Regions from separate parts of the Mus musculus genome. Here region 2 is reported to be linked to region 1. The links are microRNA targets in miRTarBase. Many come from high-throughput screens and were not tested one by one. Region 1 holds a microRNA gene; the other region holds the end of a gene's coding sequence.
Evidence for each region. Region 1 holds the annotated microRNA mmu-miR-362-5p (AAUCCUUGGAACCUAGGUGUGAAU, at 1,902-1,925, opposite strand). A microRNA usually pairs through its seed, bases 2 to 8, with sites in the 3' UTR of a target mRNA and lowers its output. Matches are read on the target gene's strand: a 7mer-m8 pairs with bases 2 to 8, a 7mer-A1 pairs with bases 2 to 7 and ends in A, and an 8mer does both.

Region 2: miRTarBase lists Zfp608 as a target of mmu-miR-362-5p. The part of its 3' UTR that is shown has no 7-base or 8-base seed match.

Annotation. Positions count from the first base shown.
Region 1 is chrX:7,240,118-7,245,193 of GRCm38, forward strand. It overlaps Mir362 (microRNA 362), which reads right to left and starts at 1,929; the gene lies at 1,865-1,929. All of the region lies in intron 2 of Clcn5 (chloride channel, voltage-sensitive 5), which reads right to left. Mir501 (microRNA 501) reads right to left here and starts at 1,234; the gene lies at 1,126-1,234.
Region 2 is chr18:54,884,951-54,890,026 of GRCm38, reverse strand. Zfp608 (zinc finger protein 608) reads left to right here. Exons shown (of 10, transcript NM_175751.4): 9 at 132-213; 10 at 946-1,982. The coding sequence ends at 952. Among named protein-coding and RNA genes, the nearest start is that of Gm33732, 47 kb to the right of the region's middle.

The DNA.
Region 1 (5,076 bases):
ATCTATCAGACCCTGCACTGAGTCATTCATACAGAATAGAAAACAAGGAACAATAGACCTAGGTCATTCTTTTGAACAGCAGTTGGTGAGTCTATAATAGTCAAGGATCTTAGTGTGTTTATTAGTCTCCTAAGAGAGTAGCACCTCTGTTCATTTTGTTTCCTGCTACATCCTCTATGACTAACAGAGCTGTATCAAATAGTGCATACCTGAATATTTGTGAAAGGAAGGAAAAGGAACAGGGGTGTGGACATATAGGGGCTCTGTCCTTTAAAGTGCAGGCGAAGTGCCACCCTTTGGATTCCTTGGACAGGACTTACTATTGAAAACAGCACTTGTGCTGAGGATTAATGTTCCTGATGAATCAGGTCAGATAATCCTCTCTGTGGGCACAAGTCTGTGAATCCTCTCCTCTGTATACACTGCATTTATATGGGACTGTGTTAAAATATGGAAGAATCCAAGTGGACAGTGTACATGAAGTCCCAGTCTACAGTCCACTCATGCAGGCATAATGGATGTGACACAGCTCACTCTCCCTGGACCATTTGCTCCCTGAACCACATGTGGTTCATACTCCTGTGGACCAAATCCCTAGTTGAGTACCTGCCATACTGAATAAATAGACAGGAAACAGTGGAAGGAGGCGTAAAGGTCCTACATGAAGATAACTCAATGTCTGAACCCTTGCCCAGGTATATTGCATTCGCAAAGCACACTCATCCAAGTAGCAAGTACTAGAAAGGCACAGCCTGCACCTATGCCCTTGGCATGTGGGTTCAACAAGAAGGCTTACTGTTCTTGCCCTGTGCATTCCTCCAAGAGTTGAACTAAAGAAGAATTTCTCTTCCAGGTGTCGGTATGAGAACTAGAATGAAAAGCTGCGCACTTATGTCAATACACAGTTTACTATGTGCCCCACTTGTTCTTGATACCTGTTAGGGTCATAAGTGGAAATAAAGTTCTACCTATAAAATCTAGGTGGGAAGAGGCCAAATTTGTCACATTTACTCTCCCATGCACCATGCCCGTTGTATTTGTAGAAGGAAAGAAGGTGGGGGGAGGCATAAAAGAAGTATGCAAGCAGCAAACAGATGAGATATGATGCACAGACCTCCTGTCCTTCTCCATGCAGATCAGGCTCACCTTCCCCAAATCCTTGCCCGGGTGCATTGCATACAAATAGCATTTTCACCCAGGGACAAAGGATTAGAGAGGATGAGCAGAGCAGAAGGCCCAGGCACCTGTACCATGTTTGTGTGGTTCTGTATATAATATTTAATTTTCCTTGTCCTGATTCAGCCAAGCATCACCACCTATACCCAAGCTTGACATCCCTGATTTATATATGTATCTGCCCCCTTCCCACCATGAGCATCCTCTCTCAGAGAAAACTTCTACGTATACAAAATGGTATCTCTCCCAGATCATACTTGAGAATTTGTGGGGGCCTGATTTATGTTTGGAAGGTAGCAAGAAGGCTGGGATCTGAGAATGCATATACATACTGAAAGAGGGCACAGTGGAGGAGGATACTCCATTCCTTTCCAATGCCTTTATACAATTCAAGCTTTGTGGAACAGGGGTTATCACTGGATGTAACAAACGGGTTGCCTGAGTAGCAGCACCTAATGTGTGCTCCTCATCACATGATCTGACACTTAGCAAACTGGGAATCAAGAAAGCTCATGCTGAGAATAGAAGCATGTCTACCAAACATGATAAAGACCATTTTGCTGTTAGAAAATGTGTAGAACCAAGTCTGACAGCTAAAACCAAAATCAAATGGTGGCCAGGAGGAGGGAAGGTGGCAGGTGAGATGTGCAAGTATGGGCCATTCTACACGCAGACAAGGCTCAGCCTCTTTGAATCCTTGAACAGGTGTGTTGCACTGAAGCAGCATTCACACCTAGGTTCCAAGGATTCGAGAGGGGGAGCAAGCAAGAAGGCTCAGGAACCTGCCCTTCCTGTGTGTGGTCAATATGCTTGTGTGCAACACACTAAAAGAGAACGAGAGATGCGCTCTGTCCTTTACAAACACAAAGGTCTGGCTCTCAGAATCCTTGCTGAAGAACACTCTCACCCAGGTAGCAAGGATCAGAGAACTGAAGCAGGGCAAAAGGCTCACAGCAAATGAACGCATGGGCTCACCTTTGACACAAGGTGCTTATCTGTGATGAGAAAGAAGACAATGTTCTTGAGCTTCACATTAAGTATGTCTAGGCACCTGAGTTCAACTCCCAGCCTCCACATAAAAGAGCCAAGCGTGAGGACTCAAAGAAAGCTAGATCCCTTGGCCTAACTGGTGAGTGCCAAGTCCCTATTAGAGACTGTTTCAAAAAACAGGGTAGATGTCCCCAAAGGGGAAGCACCTCAGGTTGACCTCTGCACCCTCCACACACATACACAGAAAGAGAGAGAGAGAGAGAGAGAGAGAGAGAGACAGAGTGACAGACAGACACAGAGACAAAGAGAGACAGAGACAGAGAGACAGACAGACAGACAGACAGACAGAGACAGAGAAACCTGTCTAAATATATACATTCATATTTTGTTCTGAGATTATAAAAATATAAAGCCAGAGATACAAAATACTGAAAGAAAAAAAGACAGAGAGACAGAGAGAAGAGGCCATAAGCTCACAAGATGGCAGTAGAGATTGGCATCCTTTAACACACATCAGCATCTTGTTAAAGTTACTTCAGATACCTGGAGGACTTGGTACTAAGATAACTTACAGAGGTTTCTCATTAGTGAGCTCAAGATTTTGTATTTCTAAAAGGGGCTGGGTGATGCTGGGGACCTTACCAGCATCATGGATAAGACAGAGAAACTGTGGAGTTTGGTATCTACAAACCCTGTTTCAAACCTATACTTCACCATGTACTGGATTAAAGAATCTACCTGCTTTCTCCAAGGTCATGGACTACTTCTAAAAAATGAGAATAACAAATGCTATCTCTTTAAAGAGTACCAAAAAAATTAGGTAAGATGCAAGCCTAGAGTAGGATGCAGGACCTGGCCCCTGGCTATTATTTTTACCTCTTACACTACCATTTTTGTACACATGTGTCTAAATGAATGTCCTGTTTACAATAGTATGGTCATACTCATATATGCAAAAGCCAGGTGAAGGAGGCATGAATATCAGTGACTCGGAGAATCTGTAAAAGGCAATGCAAGGACTGGCTCTCTGGTAATTCTTCTTCAATGTGCCTAAATCAACGAAGTTCACACCCCTTTCTGTGAGGGATATGAAAGACAAAATCACAAGTTTCAATCTTTCACTTTCCTACTATATGTCACAGAGAGTGAAGAGAGTCAGGAGTAAGGAGAGAGGGGAGAAGTAGAGAAGGGGGGAGAGCGAATATAAATGAATGACAGTAAGGCATTTTTCTCTATGAGAAAACAAGTGTATCAAACAAAAGAAACCTTCTATGCTCACGGGCCTATATATGATGTACACCTAGCTATAGATGGGCTTCATTCATATTTGTTCTCCTATCTACCCAGCTGATGCAAAAGCATATCTATGACTGTCTAGGTATGTGTTTACAAAAATGTCAGTGTTAACAAACAAGTATACCTTCCTATAACAGCTCCGTCAAAGATGAAAACCAAGAGAGCCCACTACCCTTCCTTAGAGGTGTAAGAGAACAAGGTTAGGGGAGCAGGACTCTGTTCCTGCTAAGCTGTCAGTGGGCCTCTGCATTTGAAGGTTGCCTATGTGTGCTGAGAACGTGATGAATCAGGTTTGACACTTAGAAAGTGGAGGCTAAAGTAAGGAAGTGCATCCTGCAGCTTCTCAGGCATGTATATGTGATCGTACACAGTGAGAATGATTTTCATCCTCCTGTATGCACATGCTACAAAGACTGGACTGCCCAACTTACCACTGGCTCCACATATCAGCACACTATCATACAATCAGAACTATAGTCACATACTACATGGTGTTTGGTAAGCCACAAACTACATATACAATAGTAGTCACATAACATTTCATCACCTAGTAATCCTTATTAGTTTAACTATACACTCCCATGGTGGTTTAATAAAAATTGCCCTCACAGGTTCATATACTGGAGTGCTTGGTCCCTAGTAGGTAAAGCTGTTTTGGGAAGGATTAGAAGGTGTGGTGTGGCCTTGTTCGAGGAGTCAGCTCACTAGAGGTAGACATTAAGCTTTCAAAAACCCCAAGCCAGGCCCAAGCTTGTTTGTGTTCATGTTCTCTTTCTCTCTTCTCTCTCTCTCTCTCTCTCTCTCTCTCTCTCTCTCTCTCTCTCTCTCTCTCTCTCTCCATCAATATCTCCCCTGCCTCTGCCTCTAACTTGCAATAAGATATGAGCTCCCAGCTCTTGCCCCAGCATCATGCCTGCCTGCTTGCTGCCATGTTCCCTACCATGATGGTCATAGACTCACACTGAAATTTTAATAAGCCCCCAATTAAATTGTTTCCTTTATAAGTTGCCTTGGTTATGGTGTCTCTTCTCAGCAATAGAACAGTAACTAGGCAACTCCATAATATTCATACAACGACAAAAATAACTTAACAACCATATTTCTCAGAAATCCCCATTGTTAAGAAATACTTAGCTATAAATACACACAGGCAAACAAGAGAGCCTTCCATCTTTAAATTCTTTCTGAATCCCAGCTGCATGTAGAAAACACTAGCAGCAGGTATCACAGGGAAGGAGCAGACCAAAAAGCTGGATCATAAGGATTACATAGGGAAATTATGACAAAATTTACTTTTTATAAACCCTTGAACATATGAAAGGAGGAAGCTTTATGAGAATAAGAAATTTATTCTTAGATACAAACCTTAGCACATAGTACATTCATAACCCCTCATGCTTTGCCTACTTTTGGACATGCAAATTCAAGAAATGCTCAAAACCCTCTGCACTAGGAGAGGTGATAAATACATGCTTTCTTTGTGCAGACGATGCTTGCTCTCTGTGAGTCCTTGCCCAGGTACTGTGCACTGGCAAAGCTCAAGGTGTTAAGGATTAAAGAGGAGGTAGAGGAGGTACCCAGACATGCATACAATTCATTCACAAGAAAGAAGAA
Region 2 (5,076 bases), not on the chromosome of region 1:
GAGGCATGAAACATTTCATGTGTGTTTTTGGCAAAGGACAAATGATTGCTACAGGTTCTGTGCCCTTGACCACTGGGCCTGTGTCCACTCTTTTCCAATGTCATGGAAACCCTGTGTTTTCCTCCCACTAGGCTTGACCTCTGCTGCCCTAGTTGCCTCTCAGCAGGTGGCTGCCCAGGCATCTGCTTCTGGAATGTTTCCTGCACAGAGAAGGTAAATATTCCTGACACCTGGAATTAGTTTTCTGGCAGAGATGGGCTAATGGTATTCACGGAAGAGAATATAGGCTTTGCAGATGAGAAACTTGGCACCTGAGTTTCATTTTACTGTAATGATTGAACATGCTATGACAAGATGTTTCACACGGGGCTTTGATTCCATGATCCTCATTCTATAAATGTGATGTACATCTGTAAAGAAATGTGGGGTTTTTTTGTTTTATTTTTGTTTTGTTTTGTTTTGTTTTGTTTTAAGTCTAAGATAAGGGTAATTGTCCTTAGGTTAAGATAAGGCCAAGCCTACACTTTTGTTAACATATTCATGGGGTAGTTCGGTGTTTTAGCATTTGACCAGAATGCCTACAGTCCCAGGTTCTAGTCTCAGTTCTATCAAATAAAATATCAGGATACAAAGCTTTTCATTTTATTATACTTAAAATTAACATTGCACATGGAGAAATGAGTTACCATAATGCTAAAGGGAGCCTTTGTTTCTCTTGTGTTCTAAGTTACCCTGCAAGCTGTTCTGAGAAGAAAAATAAATTAAAAAAAAATCAGATTATCAATATAAAATTAACACTCCCTAAAAATGTAGCTTATCACTTTGTGATTCTTCATTTCCCCGGGAATCGTAGGGAGGAAGCAGAACTCTCAGGCTCACTGTTTTTATGTAGTTCCTGCCCACTGTTGACAGAACCGGTTGCTAAGGTGTGCTCTTCTTTTGCAGAGAATAACAGAATCGGAAGTGTCCGGTGCCATGTGACTGGATCACATGGGGAAGCGCTTTATATAGACATCAGTTCCATGGTGTTAATTTGAAATGCCTTAATGGCAGGCAAAAAACCAGTCATTTCATTTTGTAAATTACAGATTTTATCACAGAGTAACAAATGTTGCTGTAATTAAACTTCTGTTTTATATATATGTATATATATACGTATACATATCTGTATATATACATATATATATATACATATATATATATATATTCTTTACTTTTTTGTAACAGTAACCAGGCTCGCACACACAGGGTCTGCTGCCAAGTTGCAAACCACTCAGTAAAGGAAATTAAAAAAGAAAAAAAAATGTATTTGTCATGTTGAAAGTGTTAGCCACAACAGGCTGCTTACATTCTTTTCCTTTTAAATTGTAAATAAATAATGTTCTGTATCAGTGTGCCTGAACCTTGCATATCCTTCATCTCTCTCCCATAAAACCCCTCAGAAAGGCCAACTGTGATGATGACACTTGGTACAATTTAGATGTCTAATTGGTGGCTCCTCTTAAAGATGCATCAGTGTAAAAAATGTCCCCGTGGTCACTCTTTGTACTTGTTTATTGTGGAAATAAATACTTTTGGAAGGCATGGGGTTGCCAGAACCACAAAAACTGTGTTGTATATATAATGTAAAAATTAAGATGGGGAAATAATGAGCATCTGTGAATAATGAGGTGTCATTTTTTTTTGATAATCTTGAATGGCAGATAACCCAATAGCCTGCATACCAGAGACATCTGCGATCTCTCTCTTACTTGAATAGCCCTGCAGTCTTCTTTTTTTTTTTCCTTTTTTTTTCTTTAATGTTTACAATTATCCAGTTTTAGAAGAGAAGGATTTTAACGCCATTGCCTGGTTACTTGTTTTATGCTGTAATCTAGTTTATTTTATGTAAAATGTATATTGAATGCTTTCCTTTTTATACCTGCCTTAAATAATTTGGCAATCAGAATTAAAAAGGTTTTGTTTTGTTTTTTTTTTAATAATGGTTTCTTGTGTGTCTGATGTTACTTCTCGCTGGCTGGGAGTGAGTCTAACTTTCAGAGGAGAATTTCTTCACACTATGGACACGTAATTCAACAATACACAGATACTAACTTTTCATACATGCTAAAATGATATAACAACCAAACGCCGGGTTCAATTCTATAAATATGGGCAGAACTACATGACTACTCTAAACATGGACACATAGCACCCCAACAGTATGCTAAACATGTAATCTTGTGTGTGTGTGTGTGTGTGTGTGTGTGTGTGTGTTGGTTTATTTCTTAAAACTTGTTCTCTTTATATTATCCCAGCTGTGCTGGATCTCATAGAGATCCTCCTGCCTCTGTCCCTTCCCAAATGTTCATGTTAAAGCCATTTATCACCATACCTGGCCTAAACATCTAAGTCTTGTGACATATGGACAGTAGACAGAACATATAAAATACTCAGCTAAGCAAGGTGTGGTGGCAACACCTTTAATCCCAGCACTCAGGAGGTGGAGACAGATATATCTCTGTGAGTTCAAGGCCAGCCTAGTCTACATATTTGAGTTATATGTAGCAGCCCCAAGGTAACACAGAGAAACCCTGTCTTGGGGGGGGGGGGGAAACAATCCAAAATAAAAGGATTAAAAAGTCAGTGAGTTGTCACTGACATATATAGATATTTCATGTCCAATTTCACCTTTTCTTGGCTCATCTTTCTGCCTATTGAGCCCCCCACACTATCCTAAGCTGGGATGTATATCAATGAACAAAACAGACAGAAAGTCCCATTCTCATGGAGCTTGTATCTCCCAGTAGACAGTGCAAACATACAATGAAGTCCATGCACATAGTAGGTTGTTTGATAAGATGAGTGGGGACACGTTGAGGATTTGTGGGAGTTTATAAGGCTACTCAGTCTGGGACAATGTCACTAACTTGCTGAGAAGGGAGTTCATGTGAATTTGAGGGGTGGAGGTGGGTCAAAGCACCACAGTGAAATGGGAAAGCTGGTGCAGAATCCCTCCACTGGGGATTCACTTTGGATTGGTTAAGGTTTTTTCTGGTGCTGGGGCCCAAGCCACCCCCCGCCTGGCAGATGCTCTGTCCCTGAGCTGCACACCCCAGCCCTGGAACTTGCTCGGCTTCACAATCTCATCCCAATCTGGCTCTCTATGGCTCCCCTCCAATCACCAAAGACAGGTCTACCAGCTCACTAAGAAGTGCTCTCACGTGGGTACCTTTGTTTAGCTCGCCTACCGCGTCCCAGAATTCTGGCCCAGTAGAGAAATGCTCCCTCTGCTTTGGCAAGACTAAAGCAGCATGCTCCTGTTGAGGGCTGAGCAATATTATGGGTTCCTGAAGACTTTCCAACTTACAATTAGGCACATTTTACAAATAATATACAGGAGGCCAGGCTTCCCTTTCAGTGGTAAAATCCTGAATGTACACGTATCACATGTCAGGCTTCTCATCAATCCAGCTCAGGTGGCTGACTAGACAGATTATAAATATGCACATTAGCCCATACTTAATTCTACTTTTGCCGCGAATGGGCGTGCTGATAAAGATGGAGAGATGCATGACCAAAACCACAAGACCACGAGAGTAGCCTTCCTCCTCCCTAGGCTTTCGCTTATTCGTGACTGGTTTACAGTGATCACAAAATGGAATTTTCTTTGTCTCCCCCCCCCACCCCCTTACGGTTATGATTGCTGTCTATCCCCAGGTCATGAAGTGCCGAAGGCCAGAGCTCATTGACATTGTGTATACCATTTCACTGGCTGAGTCTACATTCAGTACTGAATGGTAAATTAAAGATTCCCCAAAGACAAGCATACTTGGCTCCATTATATTACTATGATGAATCTGTCATTAATATGCTTCTAATTGTTTTACTTTTATAGACATAAAATCAGTCCCCTTAGTGACTAATAATAGGGTTTATTGATTTTACTAAACATTATTCATTCCAGGCCTGCACATATCAGCTTGTCCAGAACATAGGCAAAAAGCCTGCAGTGCCAGCAGAGTGCAAATTAACTTCGTGGAGAAATGGGGATGGAGAGCTGTTTACAGCTGCAGCCCCCATTGAATGCCGAATATTAAAAACAAGGCTCTATATAGAACCATTTATTTCTAGGTTAGATTCTCAGATGGCTTTTTCATGGAAACTTGCCATTGATGTTCAGCCCAGGTCATTAACACATGCAGAGTGAAAAGACTGGCCTTTTCCATTCGCACTGGCTCTGACCCTGACTTCAAGCGGTTGCAGCCCAAGGCTCTCTGAATGACCTGAATGAATAGCTCTGATTGAGACCGGGATGAAACAGCCGTTTAATGATAATTACTGGTCAGTCCAGTCTCTCTCTGACTCTGAAAAAGAAACAAGACAGGCAAAGCCATTTATGATTGTTTGTGTCACTAACCACAGTCATTTTCTCCCCTCTTCCCACAGCCCTCTGAGTCATAAATGCTGTTTTCTCTCAGTTAACTTACCGGAGAGAAAACAAAGTGAGGCCCTGCAAGCTGACCATTAGCCAGGCCTCAGCCATGAATTCCCTTTTAGTTCTGTAAACAAACCCTATGTAAAGCCTGGGGTGGTTGTCGGCTTCAACACTGCTGACTTTTGGGAGCCAGTAGCGTTTTGGGAGACTGGCCTGTGTGCTCTGGTCTGTTCAACACTACCTGGAACGGGGCAGAAGCAACCTACCCCACAAGGTATCACCAACTGGCAGAGGGCATTTAGCATCCCTGCCCAGCCCCTCTGCACAGTAAACTCCTGAGTTTTCTTTAGAAGTATTTAGAAAACAAGAAAACTGACTGGACAGCGGTGGTGTGCACCTTTAAGCCCAGCACACAGGCAAACTGAACTCTGAGTTAAAAGAAAGATAGTCAGGGAGGGCAAAGAGATGCAAAACAACCATGGTGCAATGAAGGGGAAGGGCCCTGCCCCGGAATATTCAGTTGTGGGGATGGAGGATAGGGGAAAACTTTAAAAAGTCCCAGAGACCTGGGATGTGAGGCTCCTGGGGCACAATGAAGACTGCCTTAGCTGAACTGGTCAACAGAGGGGAGATAGAAACTCAAGAGACCACCTGCAGTA